Linked DNA regions of Diceros bicornis minor. The protein of the gene in region 1 purifies or fractionates together with the protein of each later gene. This does not show direct contact. Links are inferred from orthologs where the notes say so. Each region holds a gene or a part of one and is shown on either strand. Other genes may lie near its edges.

The links.
Region 2: the proteins of RBBP4 (region 1) and SAP30L purify together in Homo sapiens (affinity purification with mass spectrometry; 3 studies listed by BioGRID and IntAct, with this or other methods). This does not show direct contact. The link is inferred for Diceros bicornis minor from reciprocal best matches to the Homo sapiens genes RBBP4 and SAP30L.
Region 3: the proteins of RBBP4 (region 1) and KDM5A purify together in Homo sapiens (co-immunoprecipitation; 3 studies listed by BioGRID and IntAct, with this or other methods). This does not show direct contact. The link is inferred for Diceros bicornis minor from reciprocal best matches to the Homo sapiens genes RBBP4 and KDM5A.
Region 4: the proteins of RBBP4 (region 1) and ASH1L purify together in Homo sapiens (affinity purification with mass spectrometry; 3 studies listed by BioGRID and IntAct, with this or other methods). This does not show direct contact. The link is inferred for Diceros bicornis minor from reciprocal best matches to the Homo sapiens genes RBBP4 and ASH1L.

What each region holds. Positions count from the first base shown.
Region 1 is NC_080752.1:47,309,680-47,317,168, reverse strand, and holds the start of RBBP4 (histone-binding protein RBBP4), read right to left. Parts: upstream 3,005-7,489; 5' UTR 2,914-3,004; coding exon 2,898-2,913; intron 2,316-2,897; coding exon 2,168-2,315; intron 1-2,167. Other genes in the region: ZBTB8OS (protein archease), read left to right, coding at 3,678-3,810. UniProt on the Homo sapiens protein: Core histone-binding subunit that may target chromatin assembly factors, chromatin remodeling factors and histone deacetylases to their histone substrates in a manner that is regulated by nucleosomal DNA.
Region 2 is NC_080740.1:70,927,877-70,934,765, forward strand, and holds the start of SAP30L (histone deacetylase complex subunit SAP30L), read left to right. Parts: upstream 1-3,871; 5' UTR 3,872-4,385; coding exon 4,386-4,583; intron 4,584-6,889.
Region 3 is NC_080756.1:59,031,389-59,038,801, forward strand, and holds the start of KDM5A (lysine-specific demethylase 5A), read right to left. Parts: upstream 3,005-7,413; 5' UTR 2,760-3,004; coding exon 2,595-2,759; intron 159-2,594; coding exon 81-158; intron 1-80. UniProt on the Homo sapiens protein: Histone demethylase that specifically demethylates 'Lys-4' of histone H3, thereby playing a central role in histone code. Does not demethylate histone H3 'Lys-9', H3 'Lys-27', H3 'Lys-36', H3 'Lys-79' or H4 'Lys-20'.
Region 4 is NC_080743.1:59,406,818-59,413,997, forward strand, and holds the start of ASH1L (histone-lysine N-methyltransferase ASH1L), read right to left. Parts: upstream 3,008-7,180; 5' UTR 2,846-3,007; coding exon of another isoform or gene 2,741-2,845; 5' UTR 2,715-2,740; intron 1-2,714. Other genes in the region: DAP3 (small ribosomal subunit protein mS29), read left to right, coding at 3,602-3,853. UniProt on the Homo sapiens protein: Histone methyltransferase specifically trimethylating 'Lys-36' of histone H3 forming H3K36me3. Also monomethylates 'Lys-9' of histone H3 (H3K9me1) in vitro. The physiological significance of the H3K9me1 activity is unclear.

The DNA.
Region 1 (7,489 bases):
GCACTTGAGGAACTCAACAATCTGTTTTACAATCTCTCTATCTGATTGTGATGCTACACAAGTAGAATTCATCAGGGCTTATAAATGGACTGTCAAGTGGAGAAAGGGAAAAACCTAGGAAACGTCAAACCAAAGTCAACTATGACAGGGAGAAAGTTGGGGTGGGACCTCCACTGAAAGAACACATGCAGTTTAGAACATGTGTTGGGGAAGCCAATAAGATACTGCAAAGACACCAGTAGGCACCTGAAAATTCAGGAAGAGCCCAGAAGTTGGGTCTAGAGATACTAATAGGAATTCCTTTGCAGAGAGGTAACAGCCATATATATCCTACATAGAAAAAGTAGAGGAAAGAAAAGTGGGCTGTCAACAGAAAATTAGAAATGCTTACGCTCAGGTTAAACAAAGAACCAAAGGAAGTGAGGTAGGGAAAAAGAGAATTATAGAAGTAAAATTGTGTTTTGTTTTTACAAAAGATATGAAAATACACATAAACACACAAAAAACTAAACACCTGGCATTAGGGATACTTGCTTATAAGTAAGTCTCATCTTAAAAAAATTAACATTGTTAGGTGAGTAGAAATACCAAAAAAAGGAAGGAAAAAAGCAAGGTATTTGGACTAATGTCACACATTGCAGAAAGGTTTATTTACCTAGATCAGCTAAAGTAGAAAGCTACTAACACGATAGTGCAGATCCCAGCCTTGGGGAATTGAGTCTAATTCACTGCTTTCCAAACCTAGTTAATCACTACATTATATGGGAAGCTTTTTAAGAACACGGGTTCCAGATTTAGTAGGTATGGGGTGGCCAATATTTGGGATCCACTGGTCCAATATACATAATTTATTACATGATCACAGTAAATCTGGAATCACCATTCAACTACTTCTCATCAAGTACTCTGCCACAGGTTCCTAAATCATTTGAACTATCACTGAACTGACAGAAATGACTCCACTTACCCCAAACTCAAGTAATTCTGATGATCAGTTGAATATGGGAACCGCTGGTCATGATAAAGAAGCTTCCAACCCTAAGTGTCTAGGTATTTATTACAGTTCTGTTTAACACCCTTAGAATAGATTTCCCCATTTTCTTTAATGTCACTGTGAAGGTAACTGCCTCATTCTTCAGTTAACCAATAAAATTTATATCAAATTTCTATTATTTGTTGAGCTGAAGAATAGCCTAATAACCATGTTTTGCAAATATCTTGACATCTGAAGACCTGAGTTTTGAGTGAATTTAGTTATTTAGCACACAATCTAATTTCTAAATGTTATTCTGAAGAGTGAAGCAGTTTCACACTAGAAAATTCATCATTCCAACAGGCACACTGGCTTTGCTAAAACTTTATATTATCTAAATTCACCTTCATCTTTGCATTGTTACTTCCTCCTGGAAGCCCTTCCCGATACCCCAAGTTGAGGTAATTTTTCTTCTCTCTGATCATTTTATCTGTGCCACTCATGATAATTACTGTTACATTTTATACACACACAGTCAAGGCAAGGGCAGGCGTCTTACTTAAATTTATACCCCCTGATATGTGACACCTAGTGGACCCCGAACAAACGCAAACTAAATTAAATAATATTTTACATCTTCTATTAGAAGTAAGCTACCCATGTGTAAGAAATACAAGTGATTATAACTTCTTATCATGTAAACTCCCATACACATAAACCACCCCTCCTTCAGGTGTTAGTTCTAAGCATCTCTCTAAAACTGCTCTTAGCACATATAACTGTAATTATTAGTTTATATCTGCCTTTCCAACTAGACGTGTGCTCCTTGAAGGCAGGACCATGTCTATACTCATCTTTGTATTAACCAGCTAGTACCAATGAGAGAGTCAAGTGTTTTGCTGAAAAAACTGGATTCATCACAATACTTCATGAAAGTTGACATGTTTTAATTACCCGGTCAACTAGCTATAATATGGCTACTCAACTCAGTACCAGAAACAGAAAACATCGACACGTTTTCCCCTTATCAGGTAAGTTACAAAATAACTTTACATTTTGCCTAGAAAAGATGCCACCAATAGGTTTTGATCACGTGCCTTCTACCGGCGACTGGCGAGAAGAAAACAGGGTATATCAACGTGAGAAATCTACACTGAGGACGCAACAAAATAACGTTCAAGGCATTCCTATTACCTGGTTACATCTGGAAGCCACTGTGCAGTCAGGCTGGGCCACTCCAGAGCGTGGGTCATCACCAAATCGTAAAGAAAAGGGGTGTTCTTTTTCCATATTTTGTACTCTTCGTTGATCACACGTTCTTCTACTGCGTCATCAAAGGCTGCTAAAAAGTTAAAAACAAATCAAGTTAGCGAACACAAATGGAAACTCAGTTAACACTTCCAAAGCTACCGGCCCGAGTCCCGATTCTGAAATGGGGGGATGTGTCTAAATCCCCCCGAGGCGGAGGCACCAACACGCCTCCACACCTTCGCGGGCCCGGAACCGCGCTCGGGTCCTCCCGGCCGTACGCTCCGTTAGCCGCTCGGGCGACGGCGCCGGGCCTCGGGAGACCGCTCCCTACGCGCCAATCTGCGGCCCCAGTGAGGAGGCCCGAGCGCCGGCCCCCGGGGGAGGGAGCGCGGCCGGCAGCACCTGGAGAAGCGGGCAGACCGACACAGAGCGCGGGGAGGGAGCAAACCGCCGCCGCGGCCCCCACCGCCAGCTTCACGCCGCTGCGACGGGCCTCCGCTCCCGAGGAGCTGGCGCGCCGTTAGCCCGCCCCGCGGGGCGATTCCTCCTCACGCCTTCGATGGTGGGGACGGCACTCGGCAGAGTCGGGCCTGCCCTCGCTGTTAGGCCGTGTCGAGGCCGCGGCGCAAGCCCGGCATCCCCTGCCCTCCTGGGGCGGCCCCGGCACCCTCACCTTCCTTGTCGGCCATGGCGGACAGGCGAGCCGGGGATCCCGGGGTCGAGCGTTGCCGGAGGGGCGGGGAGGCAGCGGGCGCTCGCTCTGCGCGCGCGGCCTCTATTGTTTCCTGCTGCCCCTGCGTGAGGGCCGACTCGCGCACCTTCGCGCCAACACTGACCAATCGGAGCGCGCCGAACGGCGAGGTGGGCGGGGAAGCCGTGTTCGCAGCCTATCCAGACGCGCGGAGTCGCTTTTCGAGGGGGCCAAGGCGCGCGCTCCGCCCCTGCCCCCACACGGCCCGGAGCCGACTTCTTTCGATCGCGCGCGCGCGCGCGCGCGCGGGGCTGGTGGGAGTGCGCCTGCCTGGGGTCACGTGAGAGTTTTAGTCCGCACTCCCTTGGGGGCAGCCATTTTCTTAAAGGCTGTTAAGCTGAGGACCCTTTCAAAGTACTCAAATAAGAAGTCTAGGGTGCTTTCAGGTCTAGTTATGAACTCGGGGTGAGGCGGCGAGAAAAGGCCTCTATCACTCAAACCTAGGGGTGTCTAATTCAAGTGTCCCCTACTCCTGACTCCTCCAATTTATTGCCTTAGTCCTTAGGAAAAAACTATGGATGAAGCCAGCGCAGAAAATGGGGCCTTGGCCTTTTAAGCATGTGCTCCAGGCGGCGGAGCCTCAGACAGAAGTCTTAGGGTATAAAAGTACGTCCCCGAGAACGGAGTCCTGGTTCTTTAAGGGTCTGTGCCTAGGGGCGGAGTCTAGAGCGGAAGTTGTATGTCAGGGCCGAAGTCCGGCTGATGAAGGGCGGAAGGAGAGTGTCTAATGCTGCAATCATGGCGCAGGAAGGGGAAGATATTAGAGATTACAACTTGACTGAGGAGCAGAAGGCGATCAAGGCTAAGTATCCTCCAGTCAATCGGAAGTACGAGTGTGAGTAGGTGGCTGACTTCTCTCATCCCCTCTCCTTGCCCGGGGCTTCCGGCCTCGCCTTCTACTTTGCCCCAGAAGGTGCTTCAGGCATGGTCCCATTTCGCCCTGTATTGTAGTTTCTTGTGCTTATTTGGGGGATGCTGAAGGAAAAAGCCACCTGGTCTAAGAGTTGGGACACCTTGGCTCCCACGTTTACAGTCTCTTGAACTTTTTCCACATGTGCTTAATCACATGTATCTTGTGAGAGTTTTACTTGTGTCTTAATTCTGAAGATAATCATATTTTCAAGCGTTTGCGGGTTTGTCGCCCCCATGTATCTCCATCAGTGGGATAGTTAAGAGTGTGGCTAGGTTCGAGGACTCGGAGAGCCAAGTAGGGAACTTCTAACATGGCATTTTAACTGGATCGTGTGTTAGTAAAAAAACCCAAACCTGGTTTTGCCATTTATTAGCTTAGTGACTGCAGGCAAATCGCATAACCTCTCTGCATCTTAGTTCCTTTAGCTGAGGAATAAATGAGATAATAAATATGAAAGTATAGTGCAGAATCTAAAGTTCTATGTAAACGTTAAGTTGTCATCCCTAAAGGTGGCTGTGGTTGGGAGAGCACAAATCGAACTCTTATTTCCCCGCTTAAAATATTTCACTAATCTCCCATTATCCTCTGTATGGAGTCCAACTATTTACCATAGCATACTAGGCTCGTACTTGCTGGACCCTGCATATCTCCCTAGCTCATTTTTCTCTCACTTAAAACAATTTTTAAAATTTGTTTTTAATAGGTGGTATATATGATTCAAGATTCAAAAAGTACAACAGGTGTGCAGTGAAAAGTCAGTCTTTCAACTCTGGTCCCCTGCCACCTAGTTTTCCACTCTAGATCAACCATCCTTACCATTTTCTTAAGTGTACATGCAAAGATGTTCTAGCATTTACTTGAATTTGTTTAACCAATTTCCAGTTGATGGACGTTTATGATATTTCTACTCTTTTGCTCTTAGAAACAATGCAGCAATGAATATACTTGTACATCCATTGTTTTGCACAAGTGCAAGTGTATCTGTAGAATAAATTTCCAGAAGTTACATTGCTTTGTCAAGTATATGCATTTTTAACTTCAACAATTATTGCCAATCTCCATTGAGGTTGCTCCAGTTTATACTCAACTAGCATTGTATGAGTTTGCCTTTTTCCTCACAATTTTACCAATTTGCTGTTTTACTATACTTTTTGGTCTTTTCCAATTTAAGTATCTTGTCATACTAATTGCGTTTTTCTTATTATAAATGGGGTTGAACATATTTTAGTATGTTTGGAGTTATTTGTATTTTCCCTTCTGGCATGTGTATATTCATGGTCTTTATTTTCTGTTGGGTTGTTGGTCTTCTTTACTATACAGAAATTTATTTTTATGTAGTGAAATTTATTAACTCTTTTTATGGCTTCTGGGATGTTACACTTAAGAAGGCCTTGCCCACTCTGAGATTGTAAAATAATTCTCCTGTGTTTTCTTTTACTACATTGAAAATAAAAGTTTTATTGAAGTATAATATATTTATAGAAGAGTGCACATATCCTAAGTGAATTTTCACAAACTGAATACACCTGTATAACTAGTAACCAGATCTATAAACAGAATATTACAGCATCCCAGAAGCCCCTCTCATGCTCCTTTCCAATCACCATCACTCTCCCTACTTCTCCCAGTAGCCTAACTTCTTTTTTTTTTTTGGTGAGGAAGAGTGGTCCTGAGCTAACATCTGTGGCAGTCTTCCTCCATTTTGTTTGTGGGTGGCTGCCACAGCATGGCTTGGCAAGTGGTGTAGGTCCACACCCGGGATCCGAATTTGCAAACCCCAGGCTGTCAAAGCGGAGTGCGTGAAACTTAACCACTATGTCACCAGGCTGGCCCTGCATTAGCCTAACTTCTAACATCATAGATTAGCTTTGTCTATTTTTGAACATTTTATTAATGGAGTCATACAGTATGTATGCCTTTTGTGTTTGGCTTTTTTTGCTCATATTTGTGAGAACTATATTTTTCCTGGTAGTTATAGATTATTCTTGCTCCTAGTATTTATGTGTTTTTTTAACATTTAAATCTTGAGTACATCAGGATTAGGGTAAGGTAGAAACTAAGTAGCCAATTTAATTATTTTCCAGATGATTTACCAGATGTTCTAACATCATTTATTCAACAGTCTGTCTTTTCCCTTTGATTGAAATGCAACATCTTTATCATGTATAGAATTCCTCTGCCTATATTTAGGTCTGTAGCTAGACTTACTATTCTATTCTTTTCTTCTCTCTCTCTTCATGTGTCAGTGCCACAGATTTAATTATCGAGGCTTTATTCTATCTTTTAATATCCTGTAGGACAATCTTCTGCTCAGTACTTGCCCCTTTCCTGCCATTTTTGCTTTTTTTTTCCTATATGTAGGTAAAAATCAGCTTGCTCAGATCCGTAAAAATCACTACTGGTATTTTTTTAACTTTTTATTTTATTTTATTATTATTATTTTTTGGGGGGGGGAGGAAGATCGGTCCTGAGCTAACATCTGCCAATCCTCCTGTTTTTGCTGAGGAAGACTGGCCATGGGCTGACATCCATGCCCACCTTCCTCTACTTTATATGGGGCGCCGCCACAGCATGGCTTGCCAAGCGGTGCGTTGGTGCGCGCCCGGGATCCAAACGGGCGAACCCTGGGCTGCTGCAGTGGAGCGCGCACACTTAACCACTTGCGCCACCGAGCCGGCCCCAAACTTTTTATTTTAAAAGTTCCAAATATGTACAAAACTAGGCAGATAGTATGATGACTTCTGTGCGCATATTGCCCAGCTTCATCAATTACCAAATAATGGCTTATCTTTTTTCCTCTCTACCACCATATTCCCCTGTAGGGGAAGAAAAAAAACTTCCTGTACCCTTCTTAGGTTCATTGGCTGAGGCCCTACAAATTAGACTGACAAAAGACAGATTAACTAGAGAATAACAAACAAGTTTATTAACATGGGCAACACACATACACATAGGAGTACTCAGTGATGAGTAACTCAAAGGGATGCTTAGAACTTGAGCTTATATAGCATCTTAACAAACACAGTGATTTTGTAGAGAAGTGACAAGACAAAGGAAAAGCGCTTTGCACTTCTAGGGCAGCAAATTGTGGGAAGGTAAATATGTGGGGAAACTAATGGAATCTAAGGGCTGTTACTAAGTTTATTATATAGATTCCTCTGGTGCTGACTCTGGATGCATAAGGATCTAGACTTTTCTCTGGTGATTAATTTCTGTCCTTGCTGATACAGAGGCAAAGGGGAACACCTTTACAAATTTATGTCCTACTTTTAGGCAAATAGTTCTTTGTATCTGCTTCCCTCACTTGTCTTCAGCTCAAAGTAATCTTTGTGCCAAAGTGGCATATTTTGGGGTGGTATATTCTGCTGCTTTTCACCTCCTTTCCTGTTACTTTAAAGTAAACCACAGACAAAAAATTGCTATTGGTATTTTTCAGTCATGTTAATTATAAACAGGGAGAATTAAAGCTTTGATATTTATATGAGTCTTTTTCTCCAGGAATAACGTATGCTTTTCCATTTTTCATATATTATTTTGTGTAACCCGAGAAGATTATTTCTAGGTATTTCATCTTTTTTGTTTCTGATGTAAATGATCTTCT
Region 2 (6,889 bases), on another chromosome or scaffold:
AGTGCCTCCACTATGGGTTGACTTAGAGTGAGGGGAGAGGAAGGGAGACTTAAGGGTGGGACAGGTTGCAGTTTATGGATTTGGGTGTCAGAGAAGGTTATAACTTGAACATGTTGGTCTGTGATGCCTCTGGAGCATTCCAAGCAAAGAGCTGAATGATGCTATCTGGAGCTCAGAGGAGAGGTCTCAGCCAGAACTATAAAGCTGGGGGGTTATCGACCTATAATTTTAAATATCTGGGGATAGGTTTGGGTATGGAAAAGAATGTTATAGTTACTGATTCAAGCTGCCCATTTTAAAACCTAGCTTTTCTTAAAGGCTTTAAGTTCAACTTACAAATCTTATTCCATTATAAATCTAGTAATTTTTCATATAAAGATAGGGACCATCACTTTCACTTGTTCTTTGATTACTGTTGAATTAATTCTTAAGTTCAATAGATTCAATCCTCCTTAAAGATTTAACAGACTTACAGCCTTAATTAATCAAATTTCCTTAGACAGTTCAGACTACAGTTACAAATTTAATATGCCTTATTTTTTTTCAAACACTTTAAATGCCCAACAAGGCAGACTTATAAATCTAAAACGCAAGATCTTTCTAAGCACTTAAGCAATTGTTGTAAATTAATTATCTAAACTTATAAATGTAGCAAATCAGATTCTCTTGGCCATTTCAAGAATCTTAAATCCTACACAGAGCAGAACAAGGATCACAGAAGCTTCTCTCCTGTATTCATTTATTTCTTCATTATCTGAATATTTATTTATATTTCCTCTCTGGAGTTACAGATTTACTCCCCCAGCAAAGGGATCAGAATTTTTTCCAGATATTGCTATTTAGAGCCAATCTACATAATAACATGGGGAAAGCTTATGATAAAGCATTCCTTGAAAAAAGACTATAAAATTGTGCATAAAAGATAGTTAAAGGCATGACCCCCAACCAAAAAAAATTACATAGAGGTTGGGGGTATCAATCTGGGTCCAATTAGGAAAGAGAAACCACACACTAATTTGAATAGGGAAAGATTTATTAATTATAATAGGGTACTGTAGTAACGAGGTATTGCCTAGTAAGAAGCAGAGAACTCCGAAGAATACAGGCATAGCAGATATAAGGAGCAGCCAGTCCCCCTAGGGCTGAGATAGAGCACCCAAGGAAAAGGCCCTCACCACCTCCCCTACCAGAAGAGTGGTGCCTGGGGAAGCTGGTGCTAAAGAAGCTGTGTGTACTGTAGTAGCCTGGTGCTGGATGCAAACACTGTTTTGAAAAAGTATCTAAGTGCAAAATATATGTGGGAAATACAGAAGTCTTATCCATACCAATCAGCTTTGGAACCAACATTATACACTGCCTTGTACAGATACCCAGCTGTTTTCTTTGTATATGTCTGAGCTCTCCTGTTAGAAGATATTCTCTCTCTCTTTTTTTTTTTTTTTGTGAGGAAGATCAGCCCTGAGCTAACATCCATGCTAATCCTCCTCTTTTTGCTGAGGAAGACCAGCTCTGAGCTAACATCTATTGCCAATCCTGCTCCTTCCCCCCCTCCCAAAGCCCCAGTAGATAGTTGTATGTCATAGTTGCACATCCTTCTAGCTGCTGTATGTGGGACACGGCCTCAGCATGGCTGGAGAAGCAGTGCATCTGTGCGCGCCCGGGGTTCCAAACCCCAGCCGCCAGTAGTGGAGTGTGAGCACTTAACCGCTAAGCCACCGGGCCGGCCCTGAAGAAGATATTCTCTTTTAGGGCTGAGTTCTGTTTCATCCTCCTCTTGTAGCCAACCCTGAAATGAGTGTATGCAATATGCTCAATAATTTACTTTGAATATATGAACTCTGAAGGAGGAATCCTATTAAACTGTGCCTTTTTTCCATTAATTTTTTACTCTATTTTTTCCTACTGTAAAAGCAATAAATGTTTATTGGGGGGAAATGCAAAGATAGAACAAAAGGAGAAAAATATCAACAATATTTCCACCACCCAGAAATAATTGCTATTAACACTTTCGTGTATTTCTTATGCACGAAGTTTTTTTTTTTAACATAGATGTACACACATTATATCCCACATGCAACTTTATAGCCTGCATTTTTAACATAAATAAAGCATTTCTCTAGCTCATCATCAACTCCTTGTTGAAGAGTCAATGCTGAATTATTGTATACAGAAATTTATAGAAAATTGATGTTGAAACTACCTTAAATGTTGAAAACATCATAAGTGACTACAAAATATCTCATTCTGAAGATGTCAAGTAGTTTACTTAACCACTTCCCTTGTAAAAATTTTAGGTTCTTTTTTTATTTTTCCCATTATAAATAATCCCATAATGAACATTGTTGTGTTTAAATTGACTCTGCCAGGTCAATATCCTAAAATGGCTGTCCCACCTGTGAAATTACTAGGCTAGAGGGTACAAATACATTTAAGGCCACTGAGGAAAATTTAAGATCACAGGGCATCTGCTTGTAAACATAGAAACTGGTGGCTTTCCCTTTTTCCACAGGACACAAACCAGAAGCCTCTTCAATGCCACCTAGTACTACCAAGATAGGTACACGTGCTCACCTAACACTCCCCATCCCCTCCACGCCGTTCTCCCCTAGAAAAATGCTACCCAGCCCTAAATGATTACATCACGTCATGACACTAGGCTAGTCCCTTCGGATCTTTAGCCCTCATTTGTCCCCAAGCTGCCCAGGGGAGAGGTGGCCTGACTAGGGGTGCTACACTAGAGTATTTCCCTATGGTCTTTCTGGATATGTGTCACGCCCTGGACGCCGAACCCCGAGCTATGGGGCTTGGCAGGGCGCGGTCACCTAGCGAGTAGTACCGGAGGCTTAAAGCAATGGAAGCTACAGTTTACAGATCTCCAGGGAGGGCCCAAGACTCAGCAAGCCCTTCCTCATGCCAAGATTGACCCTGGGTCCTCCACCCCCAGCCTTTTCTCCATTTCCTCCGCAGCCTCCCTCTTCCCCGCGGTTCCCCTAGTCCACCCTCCAAACCTTATCGTGACTTCCGATTCCTCCCGGCGGAGGGGTCACCCAAGCCCCTGGAGAGTCTCCTTCCCCTCCCCTTCTTCTTCCGCGCGGACCAAACCATCCCCAGTCCCCACAGTCTGGGGTCTCCGCCACCCTCAAGCATCCTACTACCTTGCAAGACCGGCCATGAGACCCCCATCATCTCCCCTGCACGTCTTTCCTCGTATCAGTACGGGATTGTCCCTCTGTCTTTCCCACCATGACTGGCTTTCTGTCCTGTATCACCCACCCTACCTCCCCCACCAGTCTGCGGGTCCTCTGGCCCTGGCCCTCCCGTTTTACCCAGTCTGTCCCTCTCATGACAGTACCTCTATTCCCTTTAGGTTCCCCCTCATATGCTCCTCCCCACGTCTGTTCCTCTACGCCCCCGCCCACGTCTGTACTTCTGTCCGCCCCTGAATGTGGTCCTCTGTTCCCGGAGTCTGCCCCTCTGTCCACTCAGGCCCCTGCTCACCGCCCCTCCTTGGGCCGGGAGAGTCTGCGGCCCGCTCCCCTCCCTCACCCACGGAACTCTTCCCTGTTCCACTTTCTCTACTTTGAACCCATCCCAGCAGAGTCCAGGAAGTAGCCAGGCGCCGGGGACTGGCGGCTGTCGCGCCCAATGGGGCGCGCCAGCGGCGGCGGCGGCCCCGCCCAGAGAGCAAACGCTACCAATGGGCGCGCGGAGGCGGGACTTCCGCTGTCCCGCGGAGGGCGGGGGGAGCGAACTGTTGTGGTGCGGAGCGTTGGGCGGGCGGCGGCCGGGCGGCCCAGGGGCTGCCGCGGGACTCGGGGCGCAGCCGAGCGGCTGCAGGGGTGGGACGGGCCGGACGCGCCGCGGGGCCCGGGGGCCGCGGGTTCGAGGCCGGGTCCCGCGCGGGGAGGCCGTGCCACCCCGGGGGATCTGCCCGGCGGCGAGTTTGCCCAGCAGCCGAAAGAAGGCGGGAGCCGGCGGGGGCCCTCGAAACCTCCTGGCAACCCGGGCGCGGAGTCCCCGGGGAGCGGCTGCTTCCTGGGACGCCCTCCCTGACGCCCCCGCCGAAGGGTAGCGGTTCTGGGCCCCCGGCCGAAGGCGCCTCCGGGTGACCCCCGGCGGGGCCCTGCGAGCCGCAAGAGCCGACCCCGGGGCCTCGAGCGGGGAGGCAGGGGCTTTCCGGAGACGCGGGGCCCGGGGCCGAAGGAGCCGGAGCGCGGCGGAGCGGAGCCGGGCCTCCCGGGCGCGGGGCAGGGCAGCGCTTCGGCTGGAGACGGACTCGGGGACCCTCAGGTGCGGGGGCCTCAGCGACCTGCCCCCGGGGGCGCGCGGCCGCGGAGTGGCCTACAGGGGACCCTCCCCCAGAGGGGCCGGCCCGGGGCGGGGAGATGAACGGCTTTAGCACGGAGGAGGACAGCCGCGAAGGGCCCCCCGCCGCCCCCGCCGCCGCCCCGGGCTACGGCCAGAGCTGCTGCCTCATCGAGGACGGCGAGCGTTGCGTCCGGCCCGCGGGCAACGCCTCCTTCAGCAAGCGAGTCCAGAAGAGCATCTCGCAGAAGAAACTCAAGCTGGACATCGACAAGAGCGTGAGTCCGCCCCCGCGCCCCGCAGCTCTCGGGCCGCCGCCTCCGGCTGCCGGCCGGACTCCGGGGCCCTCCCCGCCCTGGGCCTCGCCGCCCTTTATCTGCAAACTGGGGAGTGGGACTCGGGATTGCAAAGGCCGCTTCAGCGCTGACAGGCGCTGGCTGGGATTCTGCCCAAATCCGGGAGGCTGGGGGCGGGGGCCTCCGCGGACCCTGCCTGCCTGGGAAGACTTGACAAGTTTTTAGCTTGTCTCATTGGTTTAGATACTGGAGCAGGGAGAGGTGGGTTAATTTTGTTGACCCACGAAGCAGCAAGTACTGGGGAGGGGGTGATGAAGGGACCCGGCTCTTCTCCAACTTCTCCCTCCTTCTCGGAGCTCTGTTATTCCTTCAGAAAAGGAAAGGTGGCAGTTACTTCCTTGTCTGCCGCGGCCTCAGCTTCTGCAGAGGGTCACCGAGCTCGCTGCTTCGCATGCGGCTGTGAGGAAATGGGATTTTCAAGGATGTGGCAGAAATAAGGCCAAGACCTGGTCTTGGGAGGTGGCTCTTACAAGTCGAAACGACTAGAAGGAAGAAAATCAATTTTCTTAGGGGTAACTTCTTTAGAAATGCGGAGGGGGGGAGGGGGGATTTCAATTTGAATAGAATTGCCCCGTGTTTTGTGCCTAATTATAGGAAAACTTTTCCTGTGTGATTTCACCTCTTCTAATTAACAATTCTAAATATGTGCCTATTGTCACCCAATTAAGAACTTTGTGGTTTGACATATGTTGCTGCAAGCCTTAAGTGGCTGCCTCCTGATTAGGAACTGGAAATGAGTTAAGGGGGTATTTAATATTCAGGTAGACCAGCTGGGAGCTTAGGCGGTTAACATCTATTCTCTTTTAGGACCAAAATGTCTCCACTGTTGGGAGAAATCAGAGATTGCTTGTTAAACCGAAAGGACGCCCACTTTTCCACTTCTGATTTTACAGTTGAAACTGAGGCCCAGAGATAGGAAGTGACGTGCCAAAATCACACAGCACTTAAGAGGCTGGTTAATTTCTTAAACGCATTGTCTGATTTAGTTCCAAACCCCATGAATAAGCCTTGATTAAGTCTTTCCTAAGTGAAAAATCTTCCCTGCCCTTTCTTCCAGGCTCTTTCCTCCCACCCCCAATTGTTTTTAAAGTTAACAATTATAATACATTTGCAACTCTTGAATGGAAAGATGCTATTTTAAGATGGTTGGGGGTGAATTAGTGGCTTTCTTACCACAAATCTCTATCAATGAATGAATGAATGAAAGGAATTCATCTGAGAGCAAACTGGCTAGATAGACACTAAGGTGGTGCAGATTAGGAAACACGTTGAAGTGAAAGGCTTAATTCTGACAGCAGTGAATTCATCCTCTTGGAAACACTGCCTACCTTCTATGTAGGTTGTTGGGAGCCTTTGCTTGAACAGCTTATAGTAATAATAATTTCCAGTCCTTACAAAAAAGAAGTTTCCAGTTCTTTTAATCCCTCAGATGCAGTCAAATCTGAACAATTGTGCTGCTGCAACTGGGGCTCTATTTACCACTGGAAAACCTGTGCTGAGCCATGTTGATGGTTTCACACACACTGTCTAGAAGAGAGGCAGCCTTAGCCTGGCACTGGAGTTCCCGAAAGGCAGTGCTTCTGAAGGAGCAGGGTTTGAGGTGGACTCGCTCACAGTTTGTTTCAAGGTGGTGTTGTAGAGTCCTTATTTCTGAAATGGATTTGTTTCATTCTCACAGGCTCGGGCAGGAATTCAATTCTAAGTAACTGCTGTGTTACAAGAATTTTTAGCTGTTGCAGAAAGTGGGAAAAAAAACACTAGAGCTACCACCCTCCTCCTCCACCCCCACCACAGCCACTGAGCTCTGAAATTTCTGAAAACCAGTATATACTTGAAAATGGTTAAGGAGAAATAATGACTATCTTGTAAAAGGGTCTAGCAGAGAACCTTTGTAAATAATGGCAGCAAAAGTCCAACTTAGGCAGGTTAACTCATTTCATGTAGACGTTGGCAGTGTTCTATGATTTATTAAGATATAGCATGCTTTCAAACATTTCTCCAATTGACATATTTCTGCTTTTTTCTGGAGAAAAGTGGAAGTTGAGAATAGTATAAGGAAAATGTTGAGGAAGGAAAGGACGTATGCCAGGGTCAGAAGGCCTGGGTGACCTTGGCCAGGTCATGCCCCGACTCTGGGTGGCTTCAGTTTATCCTTCTAGAAAATGAGATTGAGGCCAGTGGGGTCACACTGGTGATTGCTTAGTTCTTTTCCATCTAGGATTCCATTA
Region 3 (7,413 bases), on another chromosome or scaffold:
CCTGGTACATAAGCTTCTCAAAGTTCTCTATCTGGATCCCTGACGTAATGAATCAGGAAGCAGAAATGGTGAACACTCACCTCAAGCTCATTCAGGCGCTGGACTCTGGGAGTGAAACGAAAGCTTTTTACTTCACATGCAAATGGAGGTTGCCAATCCTAAACAGAAAGAATTTTTTTAAAAAACATATTGGTATAAGCAAGGGATGCATTCTTCATTCCTTTAATGTAAAATGTCAGTTGCCACAAATCATGATGACAACAGATCAGTTCATAAGTCTTCTTTGTTGTAGAGACAGAAAGACTAGTATTTTTTAGGTGAATAATTTTAATATTATTTATCTCTAATTACTTATCTCTAATATTCTAAGTAATACTAAAATTACCTTATCTGTAATCCTCAACTCTCACCAGTCCCTTTACTTACATCCCACAATTATGCTTTCCCCAATTATTCAAGTGGAATGTAATGAGCTCATGTATCTCAATACAGTGTCTAACAAACATCCAAGTTTACCAAATTAAAAAAACAGAATTTGACAGAAACAAAAAATGGTAAAATTAAAATAATTTTTAAAAAGTACTTATATAATGGAATAATATGTTTTCCATTTGTGTGTAATGTGACACAGCACTTTACAGTCTATGTTATATAAATGTTATATTCAAAGCCTAGCTTCTGGGTACCCAAATATTAAAAAAAGTAAGCAAACCCACAGAACAAGGACAATTTCCAGATTGGAGATGTGGTATAACTTAAACGAGACAGCACATTTCAAGTAGGGTTCAGAGAACATAGCTTGATTTGGCCTAAATAATAGTAAATCTATTTAAAAACATGAGAAGTAGGGAAAAAAAAAAACTTATCTTACCTTGGAAACTAAAGAAATCCACCAATATTGAAATTAAATTCTGCTTGTAAACAAGATTTATTTTCAAAAATAATATGACATACAAAGAGAAGGTACATTATTTCAACCTTTTGTTAAGTAATAAAAAAGTTATAATTTTTTACCAAAAGGAACCTTTGCTAGAATTTCTAATTCCTAAACACAATAGAGTAGATGAAAATATGGTTTAGGAAAAACTTCAGTGCTTAAGGTTTTGTCAATATTAGATAATTTTGATTAAAAAAGAGTTAAGTAAAGCTTCTGGAGGATGGCAACCCATGTATCATCATTCATCATAGCAATTATCTGTTAATCCTTTGCTTGCAATTGATAGTCTATAATCTTAAATTCATTAAGCATAATGGGAGCAGCATGTCTAGATTTTAGAATCAAGCAGATTGATCTAGGTTCAAAATCTACTTTGCCACTCGCCCAAGATCACACATTTGATAAGTTATTTAACTTATTCCAACTTGCCTTATCTGTAAAATGAGACCTTATTTACCTACTAGGGCTTAAAAGAATATTAAACGAAATAATCTGTAGGTGCTAAACTAGCTCCTCCTCCTCCCTCCCATCTAAGCTCTTTTTATTCACTGTGGTAAGAGCAGACGTTTTTTAAAATGCGACATGGGTAAAACAGCACTTAATGTTTTATTTTTGTTAACGGAAGACAAAACATAAAGCAAGAGGTCCCTTTACGAAGCCCTAGGGCAATGGTTCACAAACTTTAATGTGCGTTAGGAGCCATCTAAGAGTACTTGCTAGAAAAGTAGATTCTAGAACTTCCACATCCAGAAACTGATTCTAGTCTCGCAATGAGGCCTAGGAATCTGCATTTTAGCAAGCATAGGGCTAACTCTGGTGCAGGTGGACCAGGAACATCATCTGGAAAGCAATGGTCTAATGGGTCAAGAAAAAAATCTTCTGACCTTGAGCAAATCACCCAACCTCTTGGGACACTAATTTCCGCAAACAAGGGGTATCCTAACGATTGAGAACTATAACTAACCTATAGGCAAACCCAGTTATTTGCAATCACTGCGATTCGTAAATCTTTGATCCATGGTTCCTTACATCAAAAGATGCCAAAGTTTTCTTCCACTTTTGTGACAATTTTGTCCTAAACCTCTAAATTTTAAAAATAAATGCTGCTCCTTCTCTTCCCCCGGGAAGATCTTTCCACTGCAGCAGTAACCAGTGTGGGGTTCTTGTTTGGTGATATATCCTAGGGGACAACTGGGGCTCAGATTACCGTTTAAGAAACCTTAGCCCCAAGATGAGGCCTGCAAATATTTACTAAATTAAGCATCGATAAGACTTCGATAAAAAAATAGCCGACGGAAGGGCAGTTTTTCCTATCGCACCTTAATGGGGACTGTATCTGACTGTACGTCATGGCACAATACTTCAAACACCTTATCGGCCTAAAGCCTTCTGTTACCCTTGCCCACAACCCGAAGTATCTGTTCCCAAGTTCTAGGCGGAAAGGCCCCGGGGACTCCGCTCTCTCGCGCTCAGACGTGCCTACCTAAGACTGCAAGAGAAACCAAAGCAAAAATATCCAGAAACTTAGCTTCTACTTGTTAGAAATGAGGGAGAGTAAAGATGAAAGGACAGGAGGACCGGAAAAATAAAGCTAAACCTAGCATATCGACTTCCCCACGCTCTCTTCTCCCCCTCTCTCCTCAGACTCGTACGGTACCTTGGGCGGTCGGATTTTGCAGATGCCGGTCTTCTCCGCCAGAGGCCGGATGCGGCCGATGAAGCTGAGTGGGTCTGTGAACTCCTCCCAGCTGGGCTCAAAGACTGGGCACTCCGGAGGGGGCACGAACTCCGCCGCGTAGCCCCCTGGCCCCACGCCCGCCATGGCAACACCCAAGGGACCCCGTGCGGGGACAGATGGAGAAAGGCTGGCTGAAGCCCACCGACCCCTTTCACGTCCCCTGACAGGGGCCGAAGCTCATCTTCTCGAACAAGACCTGCTCAACACGGTAAGCCCAGAATCGCTTCCTCCTCTCGTTTGTTATTGTTTCCTTCGGGGCTTTTCCTCTCAGGGCCAGGACTTTTCCGGAAGTTAACGTACTGTCAAATCCCTCCGCACCCCAAAAAACAGAATCCCTCCGCAGCAACGCGACGCCTTGTTGTACGACCTTTCTTCTTCGTGCCTTTCCTGGCAACCCAGTGTCGTTCCTGGTCTCCTTGTCCGCGAAAGTTCCGAACGGTCGGACGACTTCAAGCGGCACACCCTAGAGGTCCCACGATCTCTCCTATAGAAGAGGTAGGGGTGGGGGAAGCGGGCGGCTATGAGGCAAGACGCACTCTTCCGGCGCGGAGGAATGTGTAATACACCAGAGGGCAGAGGTTCTGCTTCCGGCGAGGAGGGTCCAGTTCCCTTTTGTGTATAAAGGGACACGAAAGCAACGCGGCCCTAACCTCAGCCGTCCCATTTCGCTGTTGGGTGTATGGTTTGTTTTAACCTACCTATCTGTGTTTTTTCAAGTAACTAAGGTTTTCAGCATCTCTCTCTTTTTTCAGTACTTTGACTGTTAGTATCTCTTTTGAATAATCTCACTCGTCACTTTGTAGCCGTCCCATCTCCATGACAACAAGTTCTGGTCCGAACCCATCCCTCAAATCCTGCCGGAGACCTTAGCCACTGTCCAGAAATTGGTTTTCCTCCACATAGAAGCAACGGCTCTTGACCTTGCTTTTCCAACTATTGACAACACCCAAGTCTCTCAACAGGAGCGCCTTCCCTCTGGCACCACATGCTCCGTAAGCCTTTCTCAATTTGCTGTAAAATCTATGACAGCTGTTCTGACCCTGCTCATCAAAACGCTCTATGCCGGTGTCCAGCTCCACTTCCTCCAAATCAGGGAGAATAAGGTAGAAAGGACTAAAGAAGAAACCACGAAAGGATAGTTCTTAGTTTAAATATTTATTGGGGGGCCGGCCCTGTGGCCTAGCAGCTAAGTGCGCAGTCTCCGCTGCTGGGGGACTGGGTTTGGATCCTGGGCGTACACCGATGCACCGCTTGTCAGGCCATGCTGCTGTGGCGTCCCATATGAAGTGGAGGAAGATGGGCACAGATGTTAGCCCGGGGCCAGTCTTCCTCAGCAACAAGAGGAGGATTGGCATGGATGTTAGCTCAGGACTGATCTTCCTCACAAAAAAAATATATATATTTATTGGAAGGAAGACTTTCTTCCCAGGGCTTGTTCTCATACTCCCTGTGCAATCTCAGCTACCCCCAGGACCTAAATTGCCAGGTATGGCTGATGCCCCCCAAATCTATTTTCAGCCTAGATTTCTCTCCTAAGTTACAGCTGTAGTACATCAAGCTACCTACTGGACAACTCCACTTGGTAAACTCAAAGTACCTTGATTAATTAATTTAAAGTTAATTTTTCCAGGAAGATAATAGTTCTTCCACTAGTTCCTCACTGTTTTTTCAGTGTTTCCAGTTTCCATGAATGACTTCATCCATCTACTCAGTTGCCAGAGCCAGAAATCTAGAAATAATCCTTGACTCCTGCTCCCTTACTGCCCATGCACAATCGTGTGTCAAGTCTGGAAATTCTATCACCTAAACATCTTCAATCCACCCATGTCTCTCCATCCTCATTATGACTAGCCTAATTTCTCTCTCACCTGAGCTATGATAACAGCACAGTTCTTGCCCCCTGTCAAATCCCTCTCCACTCAGTTGTCAGATTGCTTGTCTAAAATCCAGAATTCATCTTGTCACTTTTCATCTCCAAACTCAATAACTCCAAACTCCTTCTTAATTATTTGCTGCCTCAATTATATTGATTCTTACTTTGAGATATATTATTGCTGTGAAGCCTGTGATTTCTCCTGCACAAGTAAGAGAAGCTAGAATTTACTTTTCAGTTATTTGAACTGAACTAATTAAACATTAATTTTTCCAGGAAGGTAATAGTTCTTTCACTAGAAAAAGAAAAACCGGTACGTGATGTTAAGAATGAATGGACAGGGGCTGGCACAGTGGCTTAGTGGTTAGGTTTGAGCACTCCACTTTTGCAGCCTGGGGTTCGCAGGTTCAGATCCCAGTTGCAGACCTACGCACCACTTATCAAGCCATGCTGTGGCAGGTGTCCCACATATAAAGTAGAGGAAGTTGGGCATGGATGTTAGCCCAGGGCCAATCTTCCTCACCAAAAAAAAAAAAAAATGAATGGAGAGAGAGATTTGAGTGTTTTCATAGTCAGTAAGTGAGTAAAACTTGGAGAAAAGGTGAAAATTGGCAAAAAGTACATTTTATACAAAAAGTATAAAATGCCAGAAAGAGATCATGTGAGAAAAGACAAGATAGGCACAATTTAATTTAGCAATTAGTAGGTCATAGAGCAATTTCAAATGAAGTTATGGAGTTGAAATCCAATTTCTAGTGAGTTGCAAAGTGAATGAAAGGTAAAGTAAAGGAACCAAGCATAGACTTAAGATTCTTGGTTGTGGAGGGAAAGATGGGGTACAGGAAGAATGGACTGTCACCTTAGAAAAAAGAGGCAACTGCAAAGCAAAGGAGATCACTTATTTGGAGTCTCAGAATTGCAATTCGGGGAACACAGGTACCCGCAGCAGCCAGAAAAGTGTCCCCCTGAGGAGTAAAAGTCAGATGTTTTTATTAGCAAAATGGAGAGCCCAGAACAATTACCTCAGTTGTTTGTTAAGATTTATGAATGGAGAGTGAATTAGCATTGGCTTACTCAAGGACATCTTGTTGTTACCAGAAAAAGTATATTTTTGCACAGTCCTTCAGAAAGTCCTTTCTCAGCAAATATCTCCTTTTGGCAAGTCAGCAAGGTCAGCACAGTTTCATATTTTTAAGAAGATGGAGTCCAGAGTACAAAATGGAGTCACTGCTGAGAACTTGTTTCACAGGAGTTTGTAAAGAAGAACCAAACAAACTTTTTACGAGCTAGGAGAGATGAGTACATCTAAGTGCTGAGAAGAAAAACTAATGGAGCACTGGAGATTGAAGATAGAAGAGAATAGTCAAAGTCCCTAAGAGATCGAAGAAACTAGAGCATGATGAGGGGGGGCCACCTCTTTCTCTGAAGCAGAGGAAGGAGGTAAGTACAAGTACAAAGATGATAAGTAAGTGGGTGAGAAGGCAAGAAGTTGAGGCAGTGGTGCCTAATAGCCTTTGAGAAATGAAGAGAAAGGTTCTAGGAGGGCTGCTTTAGGGGCTTGAAGCAAATGGTGAGTGTCCAAAATAGCTACTGTGGAAATTAGAAGGAGCTAATGTTTCCTGAGAAGTGTTCTTCACTTCTGAGGGCTTAATTAAGGTTGGAGACTGTACGTTTATGTTAATACCATTTCCCATAAATGTGAGACATTCTCCAGCAGCATACATAGAAGGCAGATGTAAAGTGTGGGGATTATCAACATAGTTACAACAGGAAGATAAGGAAAAAGAAGTGAGATTACTGGCAAGAACATTAATGTCATGCAGCACAAGACTAAGCTGATAGGAAAGAAAAGCTCTGGGGTGGGAGAATATATCATGTTAGTGTTCCCCAGGCTGCTTTTCTCACAGCCTCCAAACATGTTCTTCCCTTGTATTTCCCATTCTGATTAATGTCAGCTACTCCAGCTAGCTTCCTGTCCTGGAGCCAGTCAATTGGAACCTTTAAATATCTCCCATTTCCCCCTTCATAGTTCCATCGTTGCCACCCTTGTTTAGGCCTTTTCCTTCATATGAATTATCACTGTAGCCTCCCAGATCTTCAGGCATTGTTCTTAATTGATCCTCTGCCACCAGTGTGATTTTTTAAAAAAATTATCAGTCTGGGCTGGCCCAGTGGCATAGTGGTTAAGTTTGCACACTCCGCTTCGGTGGTCCAGGGCTCACAGGTTCAGATCCCAGGCACAGACCTACGTACCACTTCTCAAGCCATGCTGTGGCAGGTGTCCCACATATAAAGTAGAGGAAGATGGACAGGGATGTTAGCCCAGGGCCAGTCTTCCTCAGCAAATAGAGGAGGATTGGCAACAGATGTTAGCTCAAGGATAATCTTCCTCTCACACACAAAAAAATTATCAATCTGATGTTGGGTGATTTCAAGAGAGGGATGGGTTGAGAATAACCTTTTGACATTTGAGTGAATGATGATGCATTAATGTAGATGTAGAATGGAAGAAGAAGAGCAGTCTAACAGGAGAGGCAGTATACATGTAGGGAGGAATGTTAGACATACATTCATGTGTTCAACAACAGTTACTGAGCAGGTGCTATGTTCCAGGCACTCTTCTAGATGCTGGATATATAACAATGAACAATAAAAAGACAAAGTATCTCCCCTCACAGAGCTTACCTTCTAGTGGTGAGAGGAGGCAAAATAATAAGCACAAGCAAATAAATACATACTATTTTAGGTGGTGCTATGGTCTTTTAAAAAGTAGAGAAGGAGGGATTGGGTGGGTGGTAAGGGGGGATAGGGTAGTCAGAGAAGGGCTCAAGATGGATGACATTTGAATAGAAATTATGCTATAAA
Region 4 (7,180 bases), on another chromosome or scaffold:
CCTCCTCCTTGCCCTTTTGAAAGCCCCTGCCATCATACAATTCATAGCTTCAATAGGATTAAAAGCCTATTATTTTATTACTCATATTTGTGTCCCCTGCATAGAATTAACTCAATAATGTTTGTTATAAATAAGATAAATTCCACGAAATGAGCTTCAAAACACCTCAGTCCCAATGCAAAACTGGATAGAGATGAGTTTGAGAATAAAAACACAATGAGAAAGAATAAAGCTATAAACACTTGTGCTATATTCTCTTATCACCTAATTCAGAAGCATGTTCTAACACTACAGAAATAAGTTTGCAAAGAATAAAGAATAAAACAAAAAGAATAAAAAACATGGATCTTAAAATTCTCCTTACTGTCAGCATGCTCAAACACTGTCACAGAATCTTGGATCTTAAACTCATATCAACATGTCCACTCCCAAAGTATATATATATAAATATATATATAAATATATATAAGTATATACATATATATATATAAATATATATAAATATATACATATATATATATATAAAAAGGCTTTCAAATGAGACCTGAATATAAATTGGTTCTACTTCATTACAGTTTAAGTTCCTGAAATTGTATGCACCATTTGTGTGACTGTGCTTATGCTCATTTTGTACAGTGAGGGTCTTTCATCAGATTCTCAGAAGGACAAGTGACTCCAAAAAACTTTAAGAACCACTAATCTAGCATATCAAAAACATTCCATTTTCCAGAGAGACACAGTTAAGTTGGTTTAGTTCAAATATTCTTCCTTCATATTCATAGAGGGGATCCTTACTACAAAATTAAGTCTTTCGAAGAATTCCTTCAGCTCTGCCAAAAAGTTCCAATATCTACAGACACATATATCAACAATTCCCAGATCCCAAAAACTGTTTACTCATAAATGCCAAAAGATAATGCAAAAGAAGGCACACATTATCACAAACTGGCCATCCTGTTGGATTCTTAAATACACTTGTATCCTTCCACATTAAAATGTCTGGAAGATCTAAATTCCCTCCAAACTGAAAAGACTTTTTAGGAAGGTTTTCTAGTTTCAATTTCCCACTGACTTGTCTGCTTTGCCTGACTTAATACATATACCACTGTCAAGACAAGTCCCCTCATATGCATCCAGGCTGTTTCAACAGGGTCACCTTGATTACTCTCACCCCAAGGCAGGAACAGTATATAACGAGTAGTTATTCAACAAATATTTGTTGAACGAATGAAAGAAGATCCTTCTTCCCATACATTTAAAGTTAAGCTGTCAGGCCCCAGGTAGCTGCTCTAGTACAAGTTAAACTACAGAAGACATCCCTTCCTCAAACACACAAACTCAAGTGTCAGAAATGCTCTGCTTCCTTCATAAACAAAAAATAATCAAGGATAACCATTTCACACAGGCCAACCTGGAAAGGACAACCTACATTCCACATACATGTCTGACATAACTGATCTCTACCAAATACAATCCAACCAGTCATATAAGCCCTTACCTTTCCAATAAACTCAGATTTGCCTGACAAAGACCTCCTGAGGCATCATGGTATAGTGAATACACTGCTGGACTAGTAGTCAAAATACTGGAGTTATAGTCCCAACTTTGTAACCAATTTAACATGCCACCTTCGAAAAATTATCTCTTTATGCCTCAATTTCGTATTGTGTAAAATGGGAGAAAACATCTATTCTACCATTTCACAGATATTTAGAATCACAAAGAGATTTAGAATTTAAAGATTTAAAATCTGAAAAATATAACAGCGTTATTCTATTATAAAGCGTTAATATAAACTCAGGTCAACAAAAAGGCCATCCATTCTTTATACCCTCATAGTAACTATTCTGTTAAAGATATTCTAGACCTTCACATTTACACAATTCACTCTGTTCAGAGGAACAAACTACTCTTAAGACCACAAGCAGTTTAAGTTTCTCCCACAAATATATGCTATATTGTCTAAAATACTGCTGTGACTTCTCTTTCCCAACAGGTAACAAGGCGCTCCCAATACCTAAAATACACACACACATCAGCCAGCAGGGAATATCCCAAGTTTTATTTCAAAAATAAGCTAACTTATAAGGGGAACTCCATTACACTTACACAAACACAAGCAAACTCTTCCGGAACACTTTCCTTCCTTGCATACACACACAAACACAGCCGCCATACACCAGCAGACCATCTGTCTTCCAGACCAAAAACATGTCTTTCCATGTACAAAGTAACCAGTAACATTTATTAAACTTATAACACTGAAATCATTCTGTCTTTCCTACATACAGTTCAGCATGTCAGGGACGACACACACCTGATCATACAGGTAAACTACTCTCGAAAGATCAGCCCTCCTGCCAGTCTTATTCCTTAAACAGCCACAGACTGGACTACGGGGGATGCTCCAATCGTGTCTACACAACACACAAACTAACCTGTCAGGGGCACAGCCGACTCCGCCTCCACTCGCTTACTTTCCTGCCCCCTCCCCCAAGCCAGGAGCCCGCCTGTCAGGGACACCCCTTCACCCCCGCCAGGAGGGACTTCCCGGTAAGCTCAGGATCCCCTTCCCTTCTCTCCCCTCCCCCATCCTTACCACCGCTCTCCCGGAGGTCCAGGTCCGGGAGATGACAGTAGCTCCCAAGAAGCCAAGGATTGAGTCGCGGAGGGAGTACTTAGGCCCAAAGGCCTCCCCAAGCGGTTCTACTCACCGTGTCAGAGGCCGAGGCCGAGAAAGATGAGAGTGCAGGGAAGTGGGGAAGAGGGGGCGGCCGCCACTAGGCTCCTCCGCTTCCCTTGGTCCACAGTGGATCCCTCCCGCTTGTCAGGAGGCGGCCAGCGGGTGAGCGGACTGGCGGAAATGCGAGAGAGGAGAAGGGAAAGGCGTGGGGCCAAGCAAGGGAAACTGAGGGGAGGCGGGTCCCGCAACCCAGACGGGGATCGTCTCCCCCTCCGCAAAGCGAACCCAAAATGGCGGCGGGAGCGGCGGCGGCAGAGCGGCGGCGGCGGCAGCTCCTCGGGAGGGAGGGAGCGAGCGAAGGGCGCCTCGTGCCCCCCCCCACCTCCCACTCCTCCCTCCTCGCGTTCTTCCCCTCCGTCCTCCCCCCTCACCCGACTCGGGCGGCGAAACGCGCACGCCCGCCCGCACGCGCCGGAGTGTATCTGGGCTCGTCGCTCGCCGCTCCCACCAACCACCGCCTCCGGCCGCCTTGCGCGCCAGCCAGCCCGTACGCGCTCGCTCAGGGGCGCCTCCTCGCACGGTCCCCCACTTCCCCTCGGCCCCTGTCAAGCCGGCTCTGGCACGGGCCCTCACGCGTACCTTCAGCGGCGCGAGCCCAAGCCTCCTCCTCCACCTCCTCGTCTTTCCTCCCCCCCTTCCCCGCCCCCACGGCCACCAACCGCCGCCACGGCCGCCGCCGCCGCCTCCTCCTCCGGCCCCCCCCACATACCCTCCACCCCTCGCGCGTGCGCCTCCCACAATCCCCCCGCGGGACTGTTCCATTCCTGTCGGCTGCAGGAGCGGGGGAGGAAAAGGTAGGCAAAAGCAGGCAGAGCTTGCCGCTAAGACTGGAATTATCTGAGTGGCGGACAGAGACCCATGGCTACTCACCTCCCGGGCCGGGGCGCCGCGGCTCGCCTCCCCCCTCCTCCTCACGGCCGCGGCGAGTGGGTCGGGGGCGGCCTAGCCCCCCTCCGCTGGCCGGCGGTTGGAGGCCGCGGCGGCTGCGCGTTGAGTAGCTTCCTGCCGTTCGACCCGAGCTTGCTTCTTTGCTGCGGGACGAGCACTACGGAGCAGCTTTTGATAGTATCTGCTGTTCGCCGCGTCGGGAGAATTGGTCCGCGACTCTCGGTGAGGGAATAGACCGGCGCGGGGGTTGTACCCATGAGGGAAAGGAGCGGGACTCCGCACCTCCGTGAGGTAGGGAGTGAGGCCAGGAGGACCGGCGACCGTCCTAGGGGGCTTTTTTCCGGGTTCTATGTTGCAGACTTGGGACCCAAAGAAGAACCGGCGCCGTGGTCGGCTTTCTTTTTTTTTCTTTTTTTAGCTCAGCTTAGATTTCTCGCATTTCGCACAACTGTCTATACGCGATGGTGTTTCTGTGCACTTTTACTTTTTCCTCCTGCATGGCTACTACATTTTCAATCTCATTAGGCAGCCTGATGTTAGAGGATAAGGAATCACGTATTTCCAGTTGAGTTTTGGACTGAATCGCCCGTGTCTTATGTGTCCTTCGGAAAGTTATTTTTCTTAATTCCTTATCAAGAAGAAACGAAAAACTAGACATAAAAATTAGTTAACTCCAAATCTGCCTTTGGAATTGGTGTGTGAAATAATATATGTAAAGTAGAATTAGCTCCTAGGCACAGGGAAAGTGCAGAGTATTATGTTATTGTTCTGTTGATGTTGATAAGGTTTGTGGGTGTAATTGGTAGTTTGTGTCCTATTCTAACCAAGTCGTTAATAAAACAAAGCAAAACTAGGCCTATCAGATTTCTGTGGTTACTAATACTTGTTTCTCAGAATCCTGCACGAACGTTTACTTGATGATGGAATTCAGGAGAACTATGGACTATTAAAATCCACAGATAATCCCGAAGTTTATCTAATCTACTAGTTTTTAGTTTCACCTAACCAGTAAAGCAGAAAAAATTAGGGAGGGGATTTACTTGGGTGTCCCTTTTCTTCACATCTGTGAATTTCAGGGGATCCAGGGAATAGTTTGAAAATCATTGTGCTAGATTAAATCTCAAAGGTCTAGTCAAGCTCTGAAGTTCAAGTAGACACTCCTGAATTTCCCCCGTACCATATTTCAATATATGGACCAGGCTTTGTTTGCTTGCTTTGTTTTTTTAAGGTAAAGAGGAATTCAGCCTTAATTACCTCACTATATATTTGCTTTTCCTAACTGTGTCTTAAGTGCCAAGTCTTTCATGGAGCCCATTGAAGTTTTACATTAATCTTTAATTGTGTCATGTATGCAAGTGTGTTACTCTACCAACCACGTTTTTAATTTGAGAGCAAGGACTATGTCTAACATTTTTTCTATAGTCTAGTGCAAAGCAAGTTAGGAAAATGTTGAAATGAATGTTAGATACTTAAAATATGAGAAGAGAAGGAGAATTAACATTTGTGGAATACCATGCCAGAAGAACATGTGTTTGTTTTTAATCCTTATAATAAACAACACTTTGAGATGGATCATCTTATTCACATTTTACAGATGAGAAGCCTGAGGCTCAGAGAAGTCCAGTAATTTTATCTTTAGACTTTAGTTTGCCTGTCTCTTAAAAACCTAACTTTTTTCACTATACCACATTGCCTTCGTGTAAAATTTCTCATCAGTAACATAATTGTGTACACTACAAAGAAAAAACACTTCTAATGGAATTCCGCTACACCAGTATATAAAGAAAGTTACATACTTAGGGTCTCTGCCTTCAACTAGCATTCAGTAACTCCACTGATTCATGAATTGTCGGCTAAGTATAGGCAAATAGGATAGTATTCTGTTCTTTTGCATATGCCCCAGTGCCTACTAGCAACTAAAATATATTAAGTGCTCAATAAAATGACCATATTGAATGAGTGAACACTGAATTATTTGAACCAAGGAAGGCTTGGAAGACAGACTAATGGTTCCCCCAAGATGTCCATGTCCTAATTCCTAGAACCTGTGAATATGTTATGTTACATAGCAAGAGGGAATTAAGGATGCAGGTGGCATTAAGGTTGCTAATCAGCTAACCTTAAAATAGGGAGATTATCCTGGATTATCTGATAGGCCCACTGGAATTACAAGAGTTTTGAAAAGATGGAAGAGGAAGACAGAAGAGTCTGTCAGAGTGATGCAATATGACAAAGACTTGACTGGCTCTTGCAGGCTTTGAAGATGAAAGGGCAGCCTCTAAAAACTGGAAAAGTCAATAAAGCAGATTCTCTACTAGAGCCTCCAGAAATAATACAACCCTGCAAGACACTTTGATTTTGCACTTCTAAACACAGAACCCTAAGATGACAAATTTGTGTTGTTTTATGCCACTAAGGTTGTGGTAATTTGTCACAGCAGCAATAGGAAACTAATACAGAAAGAGTCAAATCATTATTAACCTCCAAAGTACTCTGCCTTGGATTGTGGTCTGTGCTTTAATGTAAATGAGGGTATGGGTTAACTGAAACTTTTCTTTAAGCAAAGTGATAGGCACTCAACAAAACTGCCTAGATTTCCAGTATTTCCCTACTGTTCTGCTTCTCCTGGCATCAGTTTCCAAGCTGTAAATACACTGCTGGGCTCTGGGATATTGCTGTACAGCAGCAGTCTTAGCTAAGCTGCCCTCAGACTTCCTCACTGGAATAGAAGTAATTAAACATTTATTTCATGGTGCTTCCTTGCTGGGATGTTATCTAAATACAATATAGATAAACAGGAGAAGCTCTTCAATATAAACTTTTAAAATAAGGTTTCAAATGTTAAAAGAAATTTTTGAAGATAAAACTTACTAGAATATCATCAGGATTGACTTTACATTTGACAAGTTATGGGTAAATGCTGTATAAGCATAATAATCTAAATAATTTTCTATGTAACAAGGGAAGAACTCTGAAATTTTTGTTTGGGCACCAAGATTTTAAACTTATGCTTCAGGTTATTGCCTTCTATCAAAGTAGAAATGTACACTTCAGACTGCCTGGGTTCAAGGCCTAGCTCTGCTCCTTGGTAGCTGTGTAAACTGGAGAAACTTAGGTGTAGTAATAAACTGATAACTTATAAATCATTTAATCCTTGTAACAATTCTATATTTAGATGCTGCCGTTATCTCCATTTTAGAAATGAAGAAACAGAGACAAAGTTTAAGTAATTTGCTCAAGGTTACACAACTATTAAATAGGAGAGCCGGGTTTCAAATCCCAGCAGTTAGTTTGAAGAGTCCAAGCTTTTAACCATTCTGCCATACTTGCCACTCTGTTTCCTTGTCTGTAATCTTCCTAACCAAAAAAAACTCCATAAAAATGGTTTTGCCTAGGTCTCATAAAAACTTTTTTTAAATGATTTTATTTACTTTTTTTTTTTTTTTTTTTTTGGTGAGGAAGATTGTCCCTGAACTAACATCTGTGCCAATCTTCCTCTATTTTTTGTATATGGAGTGCCGCCACAGCGTGGCTTGATGAGTGGTATGT